Tamandua tetradactyla: one gene and its partners. The protein of the gene in region 2 interacts with the protein of the main gene of each other region in a pairwise test. Links are inferred from orthologs where the notes say so. Each region holds a gene or a part of one and is shown on either strand. Other genes may lie near its edges.

The links.
Region 1: the proteins of NXF1 (region 2) and SRSF1 interact in binary tests that used the Homo sapiens proteins (3 or more experiments, as listed by UniProt). The link is inferred for Tamandua tetradactyla from reciprocal best matches to the Homo sapiens genes NXF1 and SRSF1.
Region 3: the proteins of NXF1 (region 2) and GFAP interact in a two-hybrid assay, tested with the Homo sapiens proteins (3 studies listed by BioGRID and IntAct). The two-hybrid records come from large-scale screens. The link is inferred for Tamandua tetradactyla from reciprocal best matches to the Homo sapiens genes NXF1 and GFAP.

The regions. Positions count from the first base shown.
Region 1 is NC_135332.1:38,935,713-38,943,639, forward strand, and holds the start of SRSF1 (serine/arginine-rich splicing factor 1), read right to left. Parts: upstream 3,521-7,927; 5' UTR 3,375-3,520; coding exon 3,181-3,374; intron 2,748-3,180; coding exon 2,563-2,747; intron 2,213-2,562; coding exon 2,040-2,212; intron 1,838-2,039; coding exon 1,643-1,837; 3' UTR 1-1,642. UniProt on the Homo sapiens protein: Plays a role in preventing exon skipping, ensuring the accuracy of splicing and regulating alternative splicing.
Region 2 is NC_135335.1:11,787,229-11,795,424, reverse strand, and holds the start of NXF1 (nuclear RNA export factor 1), read right to left. Parts: upstream 3,589-8,196; 5' UTR 3,444-3,588; coding exon 3,416-3,443; intron 3,259-3,415; exon of another isoform or gene 3,075-3,258; intron 2,008-3,074; coding exon 1,824-2,007; intron 1,604-1,823; coding exon 1,450-1,603; intron 864-1,449; coding exon 780-863; intron 668-779; coding exon 563-667; intron 437-562; coding exon 356-436; intron 242-355; coding exon 172-241; intron 38-171; coding exon 1-37. Other genes in the region: STX5 (syntaxin-5), read right to left, coding at 5,570-5,729.
Region 3 is NC_135332.1:22,511,807-22,520,083, forward strand, and holds the start of GFAP (glial fibrillary acidic protein), read left to right. Parts: upstream 1-4,604; 5' UTR 4,605-4,906; coding exon 4,907-5,367; intron 5,368-6,156; coding exon 6,157-6,217; intron 6,218-6,411; coding exon 6,412-6,507; intron 6,508-7,286; coding exon 7,287-7,448; intron 7,449-8,277.

The DNA of each region.
Region 1 (7,927 bases), on a different chromosome or scaffold from region 2:
TCCAATCGTCAAAAATAGGAAAAAAAAAAAATCTTTGGAATAGCCAATTAAGTTGAAAAAAAAAAATCCACACGAATGCGGTTTGGTTGGGGCAGGAATCCACTCCTATGTTCCTGGTAATCTGATCCCGCTCCATGAATCCTTGTAATTCATCCTCCCTATCCTATCCACATTATGATTTGAATCCAATGATCCAGCTCCAAGGATTGGGATCCAGTGAGCCCTCTCCAATCCAAACCTTTATAACCAGCAAAACCAAAAAAGAGGAGGCAAAATGTTAGATACTGTAATCAAAAAAAAGTTTCTGGGGAATGATGAGTTATGTCTGTCATCAGTATTAACAGATGTACATCAATAACTATCAAATTCCCCAAAACAAGTTTCTGAATGGTGTTCAGATAAATTTTAGAAACTTAATCATCATAGAGACTAATTGGAAGAAGCATTTTATATTTACAGTTCAACTGATAATGCCAACATTTGTTACTGTACAGCGTATTACAGGTTTTGTGGTTGCAAAAAGTTATGTAGTTGAAAAGTTTACTGGTATTGGTACCCACCTAAGTCTAAACTAAAGCTAACGTTCCCATCTGCAATTTAATTTGTAAATTAAGTGTTTTAGGCATGAGTCAATCATGAATATTAAAGGGGAAGGTGAGACTTAACGTATTCCCAACTAAATTATCTACACCAATATGTTGAAATTCTGTATTTTGTTTTCATTTTGTCTTAAAAAAATGAAATAGCAACGCTATATCAGTCACACAGAGGACATGCAGATTTAGCAGTATTGATATTATACTCTATCTGGTTGGAATTAAAAGACACCCTGTACCCACATGTACACCAACAGCAGGTCACACATTAACAGTTGTAACTAAGCACTGTGACAAAATTAGCCAGTTCTTCCCACATTAGTCCCTATTAAAACAAAAAAAGAGGGAAGGGAGCAAAATAAATTGTTACAAAATGGGCAATGTAATTTTGCCACAATTGCCAAGGTTTAAAAAGCAAAGCAATTGTAGCTACACATAACTGCATAAGATGTTTGCATGTCTTTTAAGGTCGATTTACTTTTTAACCCTTGCCTTTTAGTATAAGGTCAATACTGCCAATTTCATCTGTGACAATAGCACTTGGAGTCATACCATTGCCTCCATTATTGATCTGATCCTCCTCAATCCTCCTTTTGACAATCCTAAAATGATTGAAATGTGCTCCACAATCCTTAATCCAAAGCATTCTTAATCCATCTCTTCAGATATGTCTACAGAAAGACACATGAAAAGGCAAGATAAACATAAGAACTTCCCCAGGTAAGATAACCACAAACACCCCCAACATCCCAGTTCACACAAACCAGAGCAGAATAGACATTTACACATTATCACAGTCTGAAGAGCATGGAGAGTTAACTAAATTTAAAGAATCCTGTCTATGACATCACTTAAAATACAATTTTTATCAAAGACATGAGGGGAATGTAGATGTTAGGAGCAAGGGGATATTACACAACAATGCAATTCAACACTTTTAGCCCATTCTGAACAAAACAGTTTGAATTTTAAAAAATGAATAGATTGTACTGAGTAAAGGAAAACTGTATACAACATGGGTTCTACAAAAAGTGTCACCAATCATTTTATGTACGAGAGCGAGATCTGCTATGACGGGGAGAATAGCGTGGTGATCCTCTGCTTCTCCTTGGGGAATAACTGCGACTCCTGCTGTTGCTTCTGCTACGGCTTCTGCTACGACTACGGCTTCGAGATCGAGATCTTCCATAACTTGGACTTCTGGGCCCATCAACTTTAACCCGGATGTAGGCAGTTTCTCCCTAGTGGATAGACAGAACTTTCGATTGAAAGATCTAAGCTTTCACCTGACTTCAGGCATGCTGAATGAATCAATGAAACTAAAACCAGAAATGATCTGGCACTTTACTTGGACACCCTTGCCTGAATCCTTACCTTCAAATTCCACTGTTAAGACCACTGTATCCAATTCTGGCCAAAGAAAAGAATAAGTGTATAACCTACCTCATGAGATCTAAACTTAGTGTTATCCAGTTTTCGAACTGCATAGGTCATATCTTCTTTCCGTACAAACTCCACGACACCAGTGCCATCTCGGTAAACATCAGCATAACATACATCACCTGCTTCACGCATGTGATCCTTCAAATCCTGCCAGCTTCCACTTGGAGGCAGTCCTGAAAAGTGATTTTTTTTTCAATACCAAGTATCTCAAATATCACCTTAAATGTGTAATGTACATTAGAACAAAGATTATGTCAAAATAATGATTGTACCTAAATGATTCCAAGCAAGATTCTGGAATCCAGAGTCCAAAACTATTTGCGAAATAAGGATCTTCATATTCTAGTACTGCAATCTTACTTGGTTACATTTTCATTACAGCGATCCTTGTTCGTTAAAATTCACCCAATAAGAACAAAACTTAAGACCTAGCATGAAAACTTCCAATTATCAAGTCAAGCATACAAGAACAATTTTACAGTAGTTTGTTCCCTCTCATCAACCCATAACAGCAATAACTCACCAGAGACAACCACTCTGTTTTCAGACCGCCTGGATGGGGGGCCATAGCGCCCTCGGGGAGCTCCGCCACCTCCACCCCCACCGCCACCTCGGCCTGTACCACGGCCGCTTCGAGGAAACTCCACCCGCAGACGATATCCATCGTAATCATAGCCGTCACGACCATACACCGCGTCTTCCGCGTCTCTGCGTGACCACAGAAAGCAAAGAGATAAGAAAAGGGTCCGGCAAAGGAAGTCTTAACTCGGTCAAGAGCTAGTACACCATCAAAACCCGCACATGCGCACCGAGTGTGGAAGAGCCCACACGCGCTGCATAATAGAAATGGCCCCTCCCCCACCCAGAAGCATGCCAGCCTCCAGACGATACGACAGCCCAGAGCTCCTCAGTTTCCCGCTCGGAACATGCAAGTCGGCTCAAGGGATGTCCATGGGGCCAGGCCACCACAGAAGCCAAACCAACTTGCCTCCTTACTCAACTCCAGCGTGGGCGATATTGCCTCGCCCCCAACCTCTCCAAGAGTACTGCCCCACCCCCCCATTCTCCATGTTAAGGCCTCACAGCCTCCCCAACTACTCCAACCTATTTCTTCAAAGCCGCAAGCCCCATGCCGCCTCACCGCGGGTCCTCGAACTCAACAAAAGCGAAGGGCGGTCCCCCGCGGCGATTCTTGAGATCGATGTCGCGAATAGCGCCGTATTTGTAGAACACGTCCTCAATGTCCTTGGTTCGGATGTCTGGAGGTAAGTTACCCACGTAGATGCGGCAATCGTTGTTCCCTGCCGGACCACGAATCACACCACCTCCTGACATGGCGGCTACGGAAAGCGCGAACTGGAGAACAGGCCTTCCCACCAAGCCTAGCGCACAACAGAGCGAACCCGCAGCGACACCACGTCTCCCGCGGCCCCTCCAAAATGGCGCCTTTATCTGCTGGGCGCACGGATATCGACGGAGGGAGGAAGAGAAACGAGAGGAAGTAGTGATTCGCTCTCAATACGCACGCGCAAAACGTAACGAGCGCGTTGAGAAGTACGCACACGCACGCTCGACGTGACCCTCCGCACGAAGGGGAAAAAAGTTCCCCGCGTTCTCGCTGTGCAGTGCGGTTTGCCAAGGGGGTGACCAGCCTTTTATAAAAATTAAATCCGGGACTTCGATAAAGGGGCTATTCGTGCCTGTCGGGCCTTGAAAGACAGTCAGTTTCCCCAGGAATGGGCCTCTTTTAAGGCAAATCGGCGCCTTAAAAGGATTTGGTGAAACAGCCTAGAGCCTTTTGTCCCACCATGCTTTGCGGTGTTAACGGTCTTTGGCGGGAAAGAATTTCGGGGGCGGGGTCGAGGGGGTGGGACCAGTTGGTTGCTCCCGAAACTAGGGCATCTTCCGAGAGTGGACCCTGTGCGGGAGCTGTGTTACTGGTGATTTAGTAGAGAGTCAAGGCGTGGCCTTGCGTTCCCGCCCTTTCACCTGTGAAAAGACCTAGGGCCAGTTTAGATTCCTTAGTAAATATTCTGCAAAAAAGTACTGTTCCACCTTCGGTTCAGGGCTTAACTTTTGCACGGCTCAATTCAACACGCTTTGTGTTAGGGCGATCCTAAACAATCATAAGTGGAACCTGATAACCGGTGGGGTAAACAACATCGTACCGCCTCCAAGACCAAGACCTCCTCTGCTCCACTCATTGTGTCTTTGCTGGGCTTCGGGTAGAGGAAAGGCTCAGTGAAAGCTTGGAGAATGAATTGTGCCTGTCGTTTTTCCACATTTCAGAGGACGAAAAAGAAAAAGTATTTTTAGGGAGTTTGCAAAATCCCGAAGGTAATCCCTTTTTGAAGCGTTCCCCCTAATATTTATGTACAACAGTTTTGAATTATTGGCTTCTCAGGTAATATAAATTAGCAAAATGAATGTGTGAGAACTATGACTAACCGTAAGGCACAGTTGCTTCTCAGAATTGTCATCCTGCTTGAGTGTTGGCTCTTTACGTTTTCCCAGATTTTTATGTGAAATGTTAGGATTTTTAAATGTTAGTAATAAATTCAAATTTTATGAAAACCCTGCAGTCAGATTTGCTAAAACATCTGCACCCTGAGTTTAATGATGATTTTCTTCATTATGTTTACTTATTTGTACTTCTCCCCAACGATGTGATGAGGCTTACAGAGATAGAATTAGACAGTATTATAACTGAATGAATAAATAAGGAGAATGGGAAAATAAGGAAGAAATTAAGATGACGTCTCAGATAACGTTAGTAGATAAAATGCCTGCAGTAAGAGCCTGCTGAGTTCTAAGAGATGGATTTCAAATTTGACTCTGGTCTTCCCAGAAGCCACATTAAAGAAGGAAACACCTGTATTTTCAAAATTCAAAGTGCTCTTGAGATTAAAAAGTAAATTGGTTGTTCAGGAGAAGGGCATGTTTTCTTAGTTCTAAAAGCTGGCAATGTGTTTTACACATATCTCTCAGTGATCCCAAAATACAAATTCAGTTTGAAACGTCTTGAGTAGGAATGCTTACTTTTGGTCTGTAGATCCTCAACAGATCTATAGGACCTTTGGTAGTCCTTGAATTCTCTGTAATGGTTTCCAAAATTATGTGTATGTGTGTGTGTACTTTTTTTGGAGAGAAATTTTGAAATTTTAATCATATTCTTAAAAATTCCAAAAGGAAAAAGAACACTTGAAATTTTTAAAGAAAGGATAGATTACCTTTTCAGGCCGTCCTTCAATGATATATTTTGAAACTGAGCTTTTAATAAAAAAAAGAACCTGATTTTTTTTTTTTAGTGAGAAGAATCAGACCAAAAAGGACACTATTTCAACAAATTTATTCAATTTCTGGCACAGTACCATGGATAAGAATTGTTGTTTTAATTTTGGTCATATATTTTTCATTCCTTCAACAGTTAATTACTGATCACATTTTGTCTTCGTTTCCAGTTTTTACCCATCAATTTAAGAAATACTCAGTCATCTGTTGATTAACGTTGTGTTATGTCAGTGATAACTGAAGTGTTCTAAACATAGGTGCTTTTAATTTTAAGACACTCTCATTCAGAAAAATAAGAAAACTATTTGTTTTGATTTATTCGTGTCTGTCTAATTCAATGCAAATATTTCTGATTCTGTTCAGTTCAGAGAAATACAAAACAGAACTTAAGAAGAGTGAATAGGACCTTCTTGTTTATCTACTGGCCTTTTTACACTTGATCTTAGCCAGGAAGCTGAGACACAAACTCTGCTACCCCTTTTTATATTTGAAAATATTCAAATTGTAGGTTCTGGAATCAAAGGGATTAGGGTATGACAAGGAAAATCTGGATGGCTATTTATCAAGGTCTCCCAGAATGACATTAATTTGGTGATTATTACAATCTAAGAATGGGATCTTAATGTCAGCAGTGTCCCAGAATAGATTAACAAATTTCATTCCACTAATAGACAAGAGGGCAAATAAACGAAACTATTTATTCATTTACTGGAGGTAGGGACAGATTCAGTTTTGGTGATGAGGTGGCTCAAATGTACATGCCAAGACAACTGTTTTGGAATGTCTGGAAAGCAAAGCAGACTGTTTCTTACTAAATGAGGACTCAGAACAAAGTGAGGTGAATCATTTTGAGGGATGTTTCATTCAGATCATGGTGAGACCTGATAAATGATCCCTGCCCAAAAACAAAGTACACAAAGTACACCTCTTTAAAGAAAGGAATATTCATATTCGCCGGATTTGATGTTTTCTGTTTCCTGGAAAGTACTAGGTAAAGATTGACAATTCTTTCTGTAGGCTGATCTTGACATTAACGTTCTCTAAACAGTGCACTAGACAATTGATTAGGTTTTTGCGGGTCAAATTACAGCCACTTCCAGTTTTGACTTCTGAGATTACATCCTCACCTTTATTGGGTTTCGAGGTGTTTCTAAACTCAGTACACTTTCACAGGAAGTCTTATGGATTGAGCCCACAACCAACTGATATGGATTTTACTAGCTCTTTTCTCAGAAGCAATCTTATTTTCAACACTTGCTCTTTATGAAAAGTTGCTTCCTGAAAAAGAAACTTACAAAATGTTTTCAGTTCAATCCAGTAACTCTATACTAGTGTTGGCACCATACGTTCTCCTGGAAATGATTACTTCAGAGACTGCAAAATTTTGAAAATTAATTACTGCAGGGGTTGAAATCACAAATGCACTTTTTCAGTGATTTGCTCAATATTTAAAACTCCCTGTGATGATGGTTACACAAGTCTGTAAACATACTAAAAATCATTGAATTAAACACTTAAGACAGGTGAATTGTAAGGTATGAAAATTAAACCTCAATGAAACTTTCTTTTAAAAGATGGGGGTAAATGAAAACCCTCTGTGCTATTTTGAAACTGTTGTGTACACCAGAAAAGCCATGTTTTTAAATCCTTTTCAAATATTTCTGGATGGGACGTTTTGATTAGGTGGTTTCCATGGAGATGTGTCTCCACCCATTCAAGGTAGGGTTGCTTACTGGAGCCCTCTAAGAAGGAACCATTATGGAGAAGGTTTTGGAGTCCACACAGCAAAAGACCCTTGGAAACGCAAAAGGAAAAGACCCCTAAGGAATCCTTATGAAACAAGAAACCAGAAGAGAAAGCTAGCAGACTTCCTCACGTCTTCCCAGCTGATAGAGGCATTCCAGAGGGCATCAGCTTTGACTGAGTGAAAGTGAACTCTTGTTGGTACCTTAATTTGGACATTTTCATGGCCCTAGAACTGTAAACTTGCAACTTAATAAATTCCCTTTTTAAAAGCCATTCTGTTTGACTTCCGGAGAAGATGGCGGCTTAGTAAGACGCGCGGGTCTTAGTTCCTCCTCCAGAAAAGCAACTAAAGAAACAGAAACAATACGAAACAGCTCCTGGAGTCACGACAGAGACCAAAAAGACAGTGTACCCCATTCTGGAACGGCTGAACGGGCAGGGAGAATCCGCGGCAGTGAGATACCCGAGGGGCGCGCGTTTTCCCGGCTGGGGCGGCTGGCGACTGGGGTCCCCTCCACGCACGTGGCTCCCCGGTCTGACTGGGAACGTTGGATAGCGGGGCCCTCCCGTCACGCTTGGCATCTCGGGCCAGCTGGGCAATTTGGACCGGCACTCTCCCAAGCCGCGGCGGCCAGCGACCCCCCCTCCACGCGCGGTTTCCCAGGCCGACTGCTGTGCAGACAGACGAGCGCCACGAGCGCCACCTACTGGACAGGAAAAGAAAAACAGAGCCCAGAGATTTCGCAGAAAAACCTTTCAACCAGCCGGGTCCCACACCCAGGGAAATCTGATCAAATGCCCAAACACCAGCAGAAAATAATGGAAGACGCTCGGAAAATTGAAGATATGGC
Region 2 (8,196 bases):
CGACTCAGCACCACATCAATGTTCTGGGCCACCAAATCTTCAGAAAGCAGAAAGGAAGGAAGCGAAAGTCTGAGAGGGTCTGCCCAGGCCAGATACAGCACCAAATCATTCTCTTAACATTCCCTTCCTGACGGATTCCCCCTTCGCCTCTACTTGTGCAATCATCCATACCTGGATCTGAACGGAGGCCTTTGAGGTCAAGCGCTTGTTGGGAGCCATCGTATCGTTTGCTCATGATCAGCTACAGAGGAAGAAAAAGGGTTCACAGGTCACCGACGTTGTGTGGGGAGAGAGGCAGGCTGGGCAAGAAATGGCTGGACAGGGATGAAAACAAGCAGTACTGCTCCTGTCTCACCTTTAGCTGCTCTACTTGTTCTGGTTTCAGTTCATTCTGCACAATAAGGGGTGGAGCAGAGGGGTTAATGATGATACATATCTGCAGAGAAGACATGAAAGGCAGAGTGTAAACTCCAGGGGAGCCTAAATACCAATGCCAATACCCAGTCCCTGCCTGCCACCCCAATCCCCACCCCTAACCAAGCCAGGCCCTTGACACATGTACCCGTCGATTTTCCCGATCCAAAATCTTATAGTTCACAGCCTTCAATGCAGAAGCAGTGCTGGCATCCTCAACAAAAAACTGGGCCCGACTGTTCTCATAGTGAAACTGCAAGAAGAGAAATAACAGGATTAGATCTGGAGCCCAGAAACACTTGTCTATCTTGCCCCCTCCACCCTCCCTGATGCCCAGGCAGCCTGCCACTCAGGCCTTGTCTTACCTCGATGGGTGTGAAAGGGACACGGCACTTGCTCTGAATCAAGTTCAATAGCCATGACTTGTCATATTTTCTGCCGTAAGGAATCTAGAAATAAGAGAAAGAGAAAGAAAAGGAACAATATGCAACTAAGGCTGAAAAGCAGACTTGAAGGTTCCTTTCAGACCTTCTGCCAAGCTTTAAAAGATTTTCTAAAGAAAGGACCAGCCATATGTTTTTCTATCTGAGCCATACATGGACTCCTTAATCTTCTTTCTGTCCAGTTAAAATTATTATTTCTCCAAAGGATAAAAAATCTGGGTTATAAAAAAGTATCAAGATATTATTTATACATTGCCTACCCCTCACAGAACTCCAGGAACTCCAACTCCCACACCTGGTCAACTCCACACTGGGCCTGAGCCAAAAGGAGACATCCAGAGGAGTTACTCCAACTCCTGACCACAGTTACCATGCTTACCTTTTGAGGGCCTCCCCCATCCTCCCTGTCCTCTTCTATCCCTTCTTTCAACCCACTCTTAGGTGTTCAAAGATACTGATCCTCAGCAAAAAGGACAGGCATCAAACTGTGGAGGTCACAGCCAGAAAGACTGATTCTCTGGAGTTAAACACATTCTCCGTGGGCCCAGCCCCCAGTCTCAGCCGCACCATCTACTTTCCCAAAAGTACTCACTGTAATCTTGAACCAGTTCTTCAAGGTCCCATCCTGGCTGGTGCCAGCCGTTCCTCTATCCGAAGAAGCCCTGTCTCTCCGTACAGTAACATGGATACGGTCTCGATCACGCCAATTATCACCCCGACGGTTGGGTCGGGCAGCATACGGGGTGCTGGGGGAAGCAGAGAGAAAAAAAGTCCATATTTGCAACTTTAAGCCTTCTCAAAGACTTTCCTACACTGCTGTCAGAGATGTAACTAAAACTATTCATCCATTAAGCTGATCTAGTATTTATCAGTCTTCCAAGTGGGAAAGAGAAATAACATGGGCAGTTGCAGGGCTGCATCATCTAGTGTGTCACTAAATTCAAACCAGATCAACTGGCCACTTACTATCGTACTCGGGGACCATCTTGGGCATCACTCATTGGTACATCTCCATCATCTTCCTCAATGCGGGAAGATCGAACACCAGAACCACCTCGTCCAGACCGACGATTCCCTTCACCACACTTCCACCGGAAAGGACCCCGGCCTTTCTTTCTTCTTTGAGGGAAATTAACACGGTCATCATGCTCTAGAGTTGGAAACAGGAACACAAGTTAGAAAATACATCATCAGCAATTACAGGAGCTATTATCCTGCACTATTGGAGGAGACACATACTAACAACAGAAGCCACCTCCACCCAAATTCCTCTGCCTGTCCAGAAGAAAGAACCCTCTCTACGAGATGGAAACATCAGAAAAATTCTTGGAAAACTGCACAGCGTTTCTGAAAAATGAAGATTTGATAGACTGAGAGAGTCACCCAAACTGTTCTCTCTCAATCTATCAAATCGACTCAATCCCACCCAAATTTTGGAAGGCAAATTCTCTGACACATCCTAAAACGAATCAATCACAATGATTACATCAGCACTCAGTAACCTACATTTCTCCTGCCTGTGCGTTACAGATGTCACTCAAAATCTGCCCAACCTAAAACATCTCCCTGCTATTATACTGCTACTCATATTTCCTGAGTGCTCCTTTTCCTCTGCCTGAGATGCCTTTTAACACAGGACACAACTCCTAGACTCAGGCTCTAGTAACCAAGGGTCCAGGAATGTTCTCCAGGAATATGACCCTCTTTAAATCTAGGTGGACAGGAGTTTCTTTAAAAAAGTCCTGTGACGCCTAAACATGTCTGCCTAATGCCGACACTGAGCCTCAAAAAGGACTCTAGGAAAAAAAAAAAAAAGATAACAGCAGCTAACATTTACTGAGAGCTTTCTCCCTTGCCAGGTGCTATGTTTCAGGCCCTTGATAGAAATGATCTCATTTAAACACACACATACTCTCTCTCTCACACACACACACACACCTTTGAAGGTAGCTGTTGCTTCTACCCTCATTAAAGAGGTGGAAAATGAGGTCTGAGAATTTAAGTAACTCACTAAAGCTTGACCTAGTCGAACGAGGATGCAAACCTCGGCTGCCTAGAGACCCTGACCACAACACTGAACTAAAACTCAGGCGGACTAGAACATTGAGACGGTGTGTAAAAAAGCTAAAATACTAAATGAGAGCCGCAGGTCCTCATTTAGTCGCGGTAGGAGATAGGGTACCAGGACAGCCCAAGAGCGAGCACTGAGTCACTCACATTAAAAGAGTCTGGTCGCCAAACTGAACTGACCAGCATCAATCACCCACAAAGTTTAAAGGATTCTCGTCACCCCATCCCTGAACTACTTTGCTTCGAGCCGCAGGTCCTCACAACACCAGGACTCCGGAGTCGCGTACCCCGGGGTCCATCCTCGAGTTCGGCCGAGATCCCCTTCCGGGCTGCCTGGTCCCCGGCGGCCCGCCCCACCCGCCCCACGCCGCCGCTCCCCGCGGACTTCGGGTCGCGAGCGGCCTCATCACCTGGGGCTGCGGCCTAGGCCGGCGCCGCCCACCCGGGCACCAAATCGCTCCGCTTCGCCACCGAAAGCCAGCACTTACCACTGTACGACTTCCCTTCGTCCGCCATGGTACAGAGAGAGGCAGGGACAGGCTGAAGCGCTGCCCAGGAAGCCGCCAAACGTCCAAACTGAACCAGTAGCTAAGGGCCGAAGCGCTTCTACGCCGGGCGCCACAGCATTTATTCGGCGAAGTACGTCTCGCGCTACTGACGTCACGGCGTTGTGGGCGGAGCCTCTGGGGGCGGGGCGGGGCGGGGCCTGCCTGCGCGTGCGCACTTCAGAAGGCGGACGCTTAGGAGTCGGGTCTTGTCCCTCCCACGCCTCGCTCGACTGAGCTTTCCAAGCCCAGGATTTGCTGCCAGCCTACCACCACCACCTCCTTTCATCCGTCTGCAGACTTCCAGAGTTAGTGCCGGAGCAAAGAGCAGAACAATGGCACTCGGGGTGCTCCAGTCCAGAAATCCGAGAGGAAGGCGGACGAGGGGCGGCCCGAAAGGATACTGAGGAATGGGAGTCCCGGACCTCGGAGCGAGTGATCGCTTACCGACACCTCGCCGAATTCAGCTAGTGTTTAAAAGTCTCGGCTCAGCTCTTTATCGGCTGCTGACCTTGGGGCTCTTTCCCATTCTGTAAACTGGATTAATAAGCACGAAATCAAACTCTAGAATGTGAACTCCATGGCTTTTTTCTCCAGCGCCGGGCCCAGTACCATGCATGGCACCAAGTAACAACAAATACTTGTGAAATAACTTGTTTTAACCATGCTCCGAGAGTTGCCCAATTAAATGGGACTGCATTTATAACAGGCTTCGGCGACATTCCTCTTCACAAACCAACCCAATCGCTACTGGTGTACTGTGCCAGGCCCACATCACATGTGGACTGAGTATATGGTGGAGGTACAAGCGATGGAAGAGAAGCCAAGACAAGAGGAAATCTGTAAATGCCGGGGGTGGAAAAACCATGGACTTCCCTAGACCCCCAAAAGAACTAGGACAGGCTGAGTATGGCCAACTGCAGTCTCTACGGCTTGAGTTTTGTGTGAACCAGGGCACTCACTCAAGTGATCTCAGAATGGTGTGGTTGTGGGTCCTGGTCAAGAAAGATAAAGAAGCACATTAAGCTCCTAGTAGAGGGGGTATTCTGGGCAGGTCTCTCTCCATTCTCCTGTGACTAGTTTGGATTTGGTGAAGACTTTAATGGGAACTAAGAGATTCAGCCGCCGCAGGAACAAATTCACCTTCCGCTCCTGGCAGCGGACAGAGCTCTGAATTGGGGCCAACAGGTTAAAGGATTAAGATGAAACCGGTCCAAATACTGCTGCTCAAGGCAGTCCTGGAAGTTACCACCAATCAGGGAATCCCCTCCTCCTTTGATATGAAGTTTCCATTCAAATTAGGTGCTACCGCACTTTGTAATCACATGGCTGGAGGCAGCTGTGTGGTACAGACGCCAAAGGCTGCAAAGGTCAGCTGTGGGGCCCCTCTGAACCATTAGCTGATCCCTTTCAGTTCCGTTACTGGGCAGTGGGCTCAGCCCACTCACTGCCTAGGTAGGCCCTTCGACGCTCCCACCCAGAAATGACGACATGGCTAGTGAGGCTGACAGTCTTTCTGTAATTGGAAGAAAACAGGCTGCAGTGCATTTGGCATTCTGAGAGTCACTAGCAGCCAATGTTGGGGGGGTTGTGCAGGCAGCCAAAGGGCTCAGGGCCCTCTGCCTCACTTAGTGAAGAGAGGAAAAATAAACAGGTCAAGTTCTAACCCAGATGGGAAAGTTGGTCCCTGGGGCAGTTTCTCTTCCTCTCCTCACTCTCAGAAGGCAGGGAAGGTCATCACTTCCCCTTGCTCCCAGTTTCTTTTCAGAGAGGCTGTGGGGGGTTTATAAAAATTTCCTAGTGGAGGCAGCCTCCCCACTGGCCCCCAGCTAGCCTCTGCTCCCTTCCAGCCACTTCACAACAGAGTCCAAAACCAGAACCCTGTGTGGTTTGTGGGTCTGGGGGTGTTAGGGGAGAGGCAGGATAGCCAGAGGCAAAACATGGTTGGAGGATCAAGGGGCAGTGGCCATTCTTAGCAGTTCCAGGGAAACAGGGCCTTTCTTCCAAGCACCCTGTACAGGCTCAGTGGCAGCAATGGCCACCTGCCCCCCCAGGTGGGCTTCAACCCCCCATGGAGTGCCTCAGAGTGGAGAGGATTCAGGCAAGGAAGACCACAAAGATGATGAAGAAGACAATGAGGATGAGGAAGATTTTGACCATGAGCCACCGGTTGGAGGTGACTGACTGGAAGTACTTGAGGATCTCTGAGTGGGCAGCATCAACATCCAGCTGGGCTCCCAGCACGTTCTCGTCGATCCTGGGACAGGGCCGGGAGAAGAGGAAACAGAAGGACACTGGATTAAAAAGAATGCTGTTGAAGTGTATTTATTGACATAGAAAGATGGACATGGTACGTGGGGACAAAAGGGTCGATATACAATATGATACCATTTATGTGTGTGTGTGTGTGTATATATATATATATATATATATTTGTAAACAGAAAATGCCCTAAAGGATATATAATGAAGTTTCACCTCTGGTTTAATGACCCTAAGCCAGTGATTTAACCTTGAGTCTGTTTTACTTGCCTGCAAAATAAGGATAACACAAACCCAACCTCTCAGAACTGTCAGTTTTAACCCACAGTAAAAGCCCCCAAAATGTTAGCTATTAGAATTTTTTGCTCATCAGTATTTACTGAATTTTGTCTAATGACAATGAAATGCACTTAGAAGTTCACAGACCATTACAGTCAGGAAATCCTAGTTCTAAGATGGGAAGATAAAAATTAATGATATGAACAGGAAGGCAGGGGATAAGAAAAACCCTACATTAGGAAAACATATGTCTCTTTAGGATATAGCGAAGTCTTCAGAGGAAGGACAATCTCAGGAGAAATTGCTGAGGCAAATAAAATATTTTCCAGTCACCTACAGTTACTATCCTATAAACCGAATACAAACTCTGGTCATTGCAGTGGAAAGCCCTGGCAACAGAGGCTTTTGAGAGTTGTGGGCATGAAAAAACTGGAGGAGCCTGACAATCCAACTGGAAAGTGACAAAAGAGGCTGGGCCCGTGGTTGCAAGCCCAACGGTGTAGGCGTAGGTAGGCCGACATGAACACTGGTGTGAGCTAATCTCAATGTCTCAAATACAGGAACCTGAATTGTAATTCCCCAGTAATGTTAAGAGGCCTAACTAAAGTATCAGGTTTCCTAGCTTTGGCTTTAATTACATTTCTCAGTGTGGGGGCATTTGTTATCTCATACTGAATAAAGCTCAAATCAACAATTACAAATGGCTTTGCTTGGGAAAAATAAATGCAATCTGGTATATATAATTTTTTCAATGAGTCTATGATTGAAAATTGACAGAGGGGAACTCTGGTGGTGAAAAAATTAGGACTCAAAGGTGTTGCTGGTTTTAAACTATTATATATCCCAGAAAAGCCAGTTTAATCCTGATCCAATCTTGTGAGGCCAGACCTATTGTTTAGGGTGGAAACCTTTGATTAGATTCTTTCCAAGGAGGATGACCTATGCAATTTGTGGGTGTGATCTTTTGATTAGATGGAGATGTGACTCTACCCATTCAAAGTGAGCCTTGATTAGTTTACTAGAGTCCTTTAAAAGGGGAAACATTTTAGAGACACTTCAGATGTAGACCCTTGGAGAAGAGTTGCTTCAGAGCGGACAGAAACACGGATGTTTGGAGATACATGGAGTACCAACTTGGAGAGCAGATGCCTAGACATGGGCAGAGCCCAGCAGACATCACCATGTGCCTTCCCATGAGATATTACACAAGCCAAAACCCAGAGCTATTTCCCAGAGGAGCTAAGTGAAGGCCCACAGATGCTTAGAGAGGAAACCACTGATATCAGAAGCTAGAAGCAATAGAATCAGGAACAAGGACCAGCAGACATTGGCCTTTCTTTGGAGTATCGGTATCTTTCTCTGGATGCCTTAGTTTGCATAATCTCATGGCCTTAGAACTGTAAACTTGCAACTTAATAAATTCCCATTTTAAAAGCCATTCCATTCATTTCTGGTATATTGCATTCCAACAGCTTTAGCAAATTAATACAAATGGGATATTCAGAGGAAATAGCAGGGGAATTAGAAAACGGAAATGAAAGGAATGGCTTGGGAAGGAGAAGGCTGAAGAAAGCAGAAAAGGGAAAGGTTGGCAAAGGGGAAAAAGACACAGGAATGTTTTCTGAAAGAAAGAAAAACTACAGAGGAAGGGAATCAAACAGTAAAAAGTTGGAGTCTGGCTGAGTGGAAAAAACACATAATGGAAACCAGAGCACTATAAAATGAGTATGAGAAACTGGGGACAAAAAAAGAAAAAGTTGAACCCCAAAGAAGATGGTACCCCAAAACCTAGAAAGATTACTTGGATCATGATTAGGATGCCTGGGATTTAGTTTTCTGGATTTGTTTCTCCTCAAATTTTATATGATTGAGAGTAATGAAAGCTATGTGCAGAGGACACAGAAACTGACTTGAAGTGGCTCCATATGACTTGAAGTGATCACCATAAAAGAATAGTGATAACGGATTATGATACATTAAATAAAAAAAAAAAGAAAAGAAATCCATGATTCCACAGTGATACTTAAAGAAAAAGAATGCCTCTTCTTTCCAGAAGAATGCTAGCTAGTAAATGTAGAAGAGTCTAACAAAATGATGCAGGCAAGGATCATAATATGGCTAGAGTGTTGGACATTCACACAGACTCAAGCCATCATTTCACTGATCACTTAGTCACAAAAGGGG
Region 3 (8,277 bases), on a different chromosome or scaffold from region 2:
GTTTGGCCCCCACAGGGCACCTCATCACCATGTGGGGTCCCACTGGGAGTCTTTCAGACCCCTTCTCATCTGTCCCTAAGTTCCCCCAGGGATTTTTTCCTTTTGACTCTTGGCTAGATTTAGGGGTCCTGGTCCTCAGCCAGAATCTGCTCTTGGCTGCCTTCCCCTCCTTCATGGTTCTTTTGTGAAGAGGGACCAGGAAGGAACAGGAGCTGGAAGGGACCAGAAGCACCCCCTGGGGGCCTGGAAGCTTTTCCAGCTCATCCCAAGGACTCCTCTTGGCTCACCCCTAGCCCTTTCATGCCCCTTTCCCTGGCTCTTCCTGTCCATTTAGAGGACCACTGGATTGGAAATAATAGGCCGCCCACCAGCCCTCTCCTCCCACCAGGACAACATGTGCTCCCTGCCTCTCACCCGCCCTGAGGGATTCAGGCAGGAAGACCTCAGAGGGGAGAGGGGAGCAGAGCAGATAGGGAAAAGCAATTACAAAGTGATCTCAGGTTAGAGGTTTGAGACAGGGAGGTGGGGGGTAGCAGTGGCAGTGGGGGTGGGCTGTCTGGAGCAGATGCTGGCTATGGTGGGAAGGAGGGAGAGAAAGGGCCCAAGCTTATTAACCCTGGCACAGGAGTCTGGCCCCCTGGGGTCTGTGAAGGTGCGTGAGCTGATGCCTTCCCTGTGCTCCAAGATGGCAGGGAAGAGGAAGAAGAAGGAATCGGGAGGGGGGTGCAGCCAGAGTGGTTGTGATCACAGGAGTCATACCCCTCTAACCAGAGAGGCTGCTGGACTCAGGCTGAGCATGGGGAGGACCAGTCTCTGCTCTGAGGCAGCGCCCCCTCCCACTAAAGAGGGAGACAATCCTTGCCCTCCAGCAGGTCCAAAACTGACAGCTGGCCATGGGTTCTCCCTGCCAAGTGAGGAGGTATGAATCCTCTCTTGTGGGAGCCTTAGTTTGAGGCGAGGAGAGAGACTCTATCACCTTAGGGAGACACCAGTCTGACGGGGAAGACAGATGCTAGCATGAGAAAGCTCCCATCCAAGGAGGAGAACAGGTCCCCTCACTGGGAAGCCTCAAGTTGAAATGCAGATGGGATCCATAGCCACAGGAGGTAGGAGTACACCAAGAGCTTCTCAAACGGGATGGAGTGGTGCCCCTGGCACAGGGTAGCTGTCGTTAAGTGGAAGCCATGACTCATCAAGCACCTGCTATGTGTGGTTCTCACTGATTTTATACTCACAACCACCTCATAAGTAGATATGGTGAGTGCCCATTTTGCAGATAGGGATTTGGAGACTCAGAAGGTTCCTGAAGTCGCCCAAGATCACACAGCTAATTTATGGCCAAGGCCTTGCTCTCTCCCCTAGAGGACACTGCCATAGAAATCGGAGGCAAGTCTAGGGAATCAAAGGGGTGCTCTCTCTGGGAGATGCAAATTTGGGTTTTAGAACACCTGCCTAAAGCTAGAAACTGGCTTTCTCTGTGACTCTAAATTGGCTGTCCAGTGGCCGCTAGGACCTGGGCAGCTGAGCACTGCCATCTAGCGGCCACCAGGGCTCGGTTCCCACACTCAGCTGTAGGATGGACTGGGCCATCAGGAACCAGAGGGATTTTTGTTCTCATCCCACTCACTTTTCTTTTGTTCTCAACTCCTCTACTTTTCTTATATCCACCTCCAGGCTTTTTTGTCCACACAGTAATTAAGCCAAATAGTGCTACATGGGCTACCCGTGTATTGCTCCTGCCACATGAAGCTGCTGTGCCCTGGAATATGAAGGGAGCATGACTCTTGATTTGCTCCCAGATAGTGGGAAGAAAAATTAGGAGACCTCAATTCTAGACGTAGGTCTGCCCCTAAGAAAGGGGCAGCAGCATGATCAGAGGCAGCCAGGTGGCAAGCAGCAAAATGGCCAGTTGAATTAGAGGCTAGCATCTTTGGAAAATACTGGGTACCTTGTATGCATGTTCAGCTTGATGTTGAGTTGGTCTGACTGGGGAGGCATCTAGGCTTTGCCTGTGACCGGAGGGCATCGTGGCAGATTCTGATGCACGGAGAGACTCAAGGAGTGGGAGGCCCTCTTATACCCACCTCGGCTCAGGAGTGGGGTGCAGCTTGGCAGAAGGCCATGTAGAGGGATACAGGCAATCTCTCTCTCTGGCTGGCAGCGTCCTGCTGCCCAGAGGTCAGTCTAGGGATGGGCCTGAGGCTTCACATGTTGGGCCACCAGGTTAGGGAAGCAGGAGGAGAGAGGTGCCATCTAGAATGGGGACTGAGCCACACCATAATTAGGCCTTGGGGTGGAGGCCAGAAGGGCTGCGAGCCTGCCCGTGTCTGTGGGCTGCGTCTGCCTGAGGGCAGGAAAACATCACAGCGTGGTGATTTAGAACAGAGAGAAAGAGAACATAACTGTCCAACAATAGAGCTCAGTTAAATAAATGCATACAGTAGAAAACCATGTAGCTGTGAAAATGATGATGTGGATAAATATTTATCGATATGGAAAGATGTTCATAACATATTGAGCGAAAAAAAACAAATTACAAAACCATTTGTACAGCATAAGCCCACTTTTTAAAAAATGCATTTATATGTGAAGAAAATCTGGTAGTGTTTATCTCCAGGTGGCAAAATTACAGCTAATTAAAAAAATATTTTTGCTTATCTTTATTTTCTAATTTTTCTACAATAAATATGTAATACAAAACAATGCAAGTTTGGAAAACAATCTCTACCAAATCCGTCTGCCCCTTTGCTTCTCTGTATGAACACCGTTAGCTAGTCAAGGGTTGAGAGTGGGGATGGGTCTGAGTGCTAGATGGGAGGTTGGGAATGGGGGCAGGGAGAGCCAGGGCCTGGGACAGCGGCCCAGCTGGAAGGGGTGAGGCTGGGGGACCCCTTCTGCTGGTTCTGAAATGAACCTCTGTCTCATATACAGAAGCACAATTCATCAGCTTTTCTGACAAGCCCTTCCTACTTTTGTTACATCTTTCATTTCCAGGATTGCTTTGCACTCATTCGGATTTTACTTGGACAAAAAGGGGAGACCACATGCTGTGATTTGCTAGTCAATCTGAGGGGGCCACAACTAGCTCAGAGATGATGGTTAGAACCCGGGCTTGTCCCCTGTCTTGTTCTTCAAGTCCCTATTGGTCCCCAGCTCACCAACCCACGACAGGATGAATGGTCACTGGGTGCCCCCTCCCCATATTACTGCTCAGGACCCAGGATCAGATGTGACCAGAGAATAAGGAAGGGACTCTCAGGCCTTCAGTTTGTGCTGGAACTCACAGGGGCGACATCAGCTGGCAGCTCATGACATGCCCAAATGAAGAGCATGTCCCCTGGCATGGGGCAGGGGATATTACCCTGAGAGGGGCTCAGGGTCCTGCGCTGGCTCTAAGAGCTGGGGAGAGGGTGGGCAGCATGGCCTTGTCTGCAAAGCTGGAGACCTGGCATGCTGGACCACTCTCCAGGGCCTTCCCCTGGTGCCCACTGAATGACTCACCTTGGCACAGAAACAATAGTCAGGGTGGGCACAGAGCCTGCTTCCCACTGCACCCCAGCCCCCCTCAGATGCCTTCCGAGAAACCCATTGAGCAGGGGACTTGGGCTACCCCCCGGCCTGACAGCCTGGCATCTCAGGATAAAAGCAACTCAGGCCCCCGGGAGCTGCCCTTCCCGCACGGCGCCCTCACCGGTGGCGGAGAACAAGGCTCCTTTCAGCAAGAGCCCCAGAAAAGGGATCAGCAGCTCAGGGCATGGGCAGGGGTGGCAGGGGGTGGGAGGGAGGAGGGCCGCCTGCTTCCCAGAAGTCCAAGGACATAGATTGGTGAGGGTCCTGGGCAGGGCTCTGACCCTTAAGAACCAAGGTAGACAGCTGTAGACCGACCCGAAGGCTCAAGGGGCAATCAGGCCTGGGGTCCGGGCTCCCAGTCTGCACTCAGTGGCTCCTGGGTTCCCAAACTCACCCATCCCCAGAGGCCTTTCCCATCAGCCCAGCCTGAAGTGTGGGAACTCAAAGAAGATATATTTCCAGGGGGTGTGTGAGGGGGTGACCAGGGCGACAGGGAGTCGCAGGAACAAAGATGCAAGCTGGAACAGCCAGCTCATTCGTAACTGCTTTGTGGAGCTGTCAAGGCCTGAGCTCTGGGGAGGGGGCAAGGAGGCCAGGCAGGGGGAGGGGTGAGCCCAGTGGGAATAAGGTAGGGGCTTAGGGGGGCCCAAGGAGAGGGGCCAGAGAGTATAGTACCTGACCCCCTCGACCCAATCAATTGGGACCTTCAAAGGTCCCTACTGTCACTGGCCTCGGCTAGACAGAAAGGCCTCAGATAGCCCACCAAGAAAACGGAGGCTGGTGTCCAAACCTGGGCCCCAATCCCAGAACTCCAAGGAGAGACAAGAAAGCAGGAATGTAGGATGGCTGTATTCAGAGGGCAGGATGTACAGGAATCTGTTGGAATGGGGCTCAGTAGGAAACTGTAGCAGGCTGTCACTTGAGGGTATAGAACAGGTTTGTTTTTTGCTAATTTCCCAGCATGGAGCAGGCAGGCAGTGAAGGAGTGCTGAGGGAGGGACTGCCTATGACAATGGTTATGGAATCTGAGATGGAAGATAGGTCAGAGGTCACCTGGCTCAGCCCTCTTTGACCCACTTTTCTGGAAAGGGGGTCTCCTGGTCCAGTGGTCAGGGTTCCAGACCCAGATAGGGTTGGCATGCCCGGGAAGCCCTGCCTCTGGGCACAGTGACCTCAGTGGGGTGAGAGGAGCTCTCCCCATGGCTGGGCTGCGGCCCAACCCCACCCCCTCAGGCTATGCCAGGGGGGCGTTGCCAGGGGCACCCTGGGCAGTGGCAGGCCAGCCCACTCCTCCATAAAGCTTTCACATCCCAGCAGCAGGCAGAGCCAGGCCAGGATGGAGAGGCGACGCATCACCTCTGCTGCTCGCCGCTCCTATGTCTCCTCCTTGGAGATGGTGGGGGGCGGCCTGAGTCCCAGCCGCCGCCTGGGGCCTGGCGCCCGCCTCTCCCTGGCTCGAATGCCCCCTCCACTCCCGGCCCGGGTGGACTTCTCCCTGGCCGGGGCACTCAATGCCGGCTTCAAGGAGACACGGGCCAGTGAGCGGGCAGAGATGATGGAACTCAATGACCGCTTTGCCAGCTACATCGAGAAGGTGCGCTTTCTGGAGCAGCAGAACAAGGCGCTGGCAGCCGAGCTGAACCAGCTGCGGGCCAAGGAGCCCACCAAGCTGGCTGACGTCTACCAGGCCGAGCTGCGCGAGCTGCGACTGCGCCTCGACCAGCTCACGGCCAACAGTGCACGGCTCGAGGTCGAGAGGGACAATCTGGCACAGGACCTGAGCACCCTGAGGCAGAAGTGAGGAGGGGGACTGTGGAGGGGCCTGTGGGGTCTCGTCAGGGGCTCTGCTTCTCTGCTTCCCACGTTTCCCCACTGCTGGGAGGGAAGGGCTCTTGTGCTCCCCAAGATGACGGGAGGGGGCAGGAGGAGGACTAGAGCCTCAAGGATCTGAGTCCCAGGGACAGCAACTCCCACTGGGGAAAGCTGGGCCGGGGACCATGGGGGACCCAGTGGGCAGGTTCTTTGCATTTCATCCACTGCTGGGCCTTGAGATCCTGGCAGGGAAATGCACCTACCTGAGCCTGAGGATTAGAAGGCAAGAAGGCGGAAAAATAGAGCAGGCAAGCCTGGGTTCAGAACACACTCTGCCTGTTCTCAGCTCGTGACCCTAGCAAGTCACCTTGACTTGCACTGCTGTGAAGCAGCGATCATAATAAAATCCATCACAAGCGGCAGTTGCTTGGGACGTGGAGCTTTGCTGAGCTGGCAGGGCAAGTGTGTTACCTGCAAGTGCAGGGGGAAGTGTGTGAGTTTGTACCTGCAGCAGCAAGTACTCACTGGTGGGAGTTCAGTAATGGACTTCATTACTTAAGGGACTTCAGTAATGAGTTAGGGCCAAAGTTCTCATCTGCTCACCCTCCCACCCTCCCAGCCATTCCCATGATCCAGGACCCCTTGACCCCTACTCCTCCTGCCACCCTACCAGTTCTGGGGGTCTCTGAGGCAGGGAGAGCACGGTAGGGATTTGAGAGTCCTCAGAAGACCCTAGATCCAGGAATGTGTCATACACACCCCTCCCCACTCCAGGCTCCAGGATGAAACCAACCTGAGGGTGGAGGCTGAGAACAATCTGGCCGCCTATCGACAGGTCAGGGAGGTAGAGGGGAAGGTTGGGGGGTGGGGAGGGAGGGTTGGAGGCAGCCCACCTAAACCAAGCCCCCCAAACCCAGCCCTTCAGATCAATGAACTCCTGCTGCCCCAGAAGAAGAAGTAAGACAAGCCTGGGGAAGGGAGAAGAGGAGTTTGAGGTCAGAGTGGTCCTTTGTCCCCTCCCCATTCCAGGAGGCAGATGAAGCCACCCTAGCCCGTCTGGATCTGGAGAGGAAGATTGAGTCTCTGGAAGAGGAGATCAGGTTCCTGAGGAAGGTCCACGAGGAGGTAAGGCTGAAGCAGAGGGAGGAGAGCCCAAGTCAGAGACTGAAGCTGAGAAAAAGACAGAGATGGAGGATGAGAGATTGAGACAGAGAGATACTCAGAGACAGAGGAAGAAAGAGAGGCAGAAAGTGAGAGACAGAGGGAGAAACAGATACAGAGAAAAATGTGCGGTAGAGGGGGATAGAGACAGACAGGAGAGCATTCCGGACCCCCGTTAAAAGGCACACACATGTGAATCAAACACTCCACTTACTGGATTCAAATAGGCCTCATGGCCTCATTTTTTTCTTCATAACAGCCCTGTGAGGTAGGAACTGTTCCAGTATTATCCCCTTTTCACAGAGGACACTGAGACCCAGAGAAGTTAAGGAACTTGCTACGGTCACACAGTTAGTCTCTCCAACTCCATCCCTTCTGTCACCTGCCTCCCTTCAAGTGAGGGCCATTTATTAAAAAAAAAAAAAAAAAGTCCCACTGTGTTCTGAACTCAGAGCACGGATTCAGAATCTATGACCCTGTGGAACCTGGGAACCTCTGGGTACCCACCCACAGAATGCAGGCACATCTCAGGACCGGGCTCCTACCCATCCAGCCCTGGCAGAGGACACCTTGAGGCCCCAAACTACCCCCTGCCTTCCTTAGCCTGGGCCATGCCTCTACCTCCAGCTAGGGATGCCCCCCTTCTCAGCCAATGCCTGAGTAAAAGCAGGTACGATGCTGTACGATACCCTGGCCAAAGCCCGAATCCTGAGCCCTGGGACCCCTTCTCTCACCCTGACCAGGAGGTGCGGGAGCTCCAGGAACAGCTGGCCCGGCAGCAAGTCCATGTGGAGCTGGATGTGGCCAAGCCAGACCTCACGGCAGCCCTGAGAGAGATCCGCACACAGTACGAGGCAGTGGCATCCAGCAACATGCAGGAGGCAGAGGAGTGGTACCGGTCCAAGGTAGCCCTGACTGTGGGACAGCTTGCCTCCTCCAGACAGTCCTCCTTTCTCCATACTGGAGAACTAGGAACGGAGGGTAGAAGAAGGTGGAAGGGGCTCCTCTCTGGGTGACTGACTTCCAGAGAAATGAGATGACTCCGAGAGTCTTACAGGCACTACTACGTCCAACAAGTACTTATTATTATTACTACTATTATTACTACTAGTTGTAGTAGTAGTAGTTTAGTGGTAGTCAACATTGTTGTGTTCCAGGCTCTGGATGGATTAATTTTGCTATGAAATAGGCACTGTTCTTTGATAAATAGAGAAATGAGGTCCAGAGAAGTTAGTAATTTGCCCAAAGTCACACAACTCCTTAACGGTGGAGTTGGCTTTTCAACCCTAGCCCATCTCACTCCAGAGCTTGCTTTCTTGATCCCTCTGCCAGGCTGTGTCTTGAATTACTGAACACCTACGTGCACCAGGCCCTGTCCGGGACACAGAGTGGTGGCTGACTGGGGGGAGAGGATGTGTACCCAAACGAGCACCTGCGTCCATTCCCCTGGGGCAATGGGGTCCACAGAGAACACTACAGGGCAGGGTTAATCTGCAATTTGGGAACCAGGAAAGACATAAAAGGGGCCATTTGGGCTGGGCAGGACAGTCAGCCGTGGACATGCAGGGAGGAGGGGACATTCCAGGTGGAGGACACAGCAGCGTGGGGGTAGAAAAACATGGAGAGATGGGGGTGCAGGGATGCCAGCCCCCAGGGCGCCTCACTGGGGAGTGTGAGCAGCAGGAGCCAGGGATAGTTCTGAGCAGGGGGAAGGCTTGATGGAACCCTGAGGGC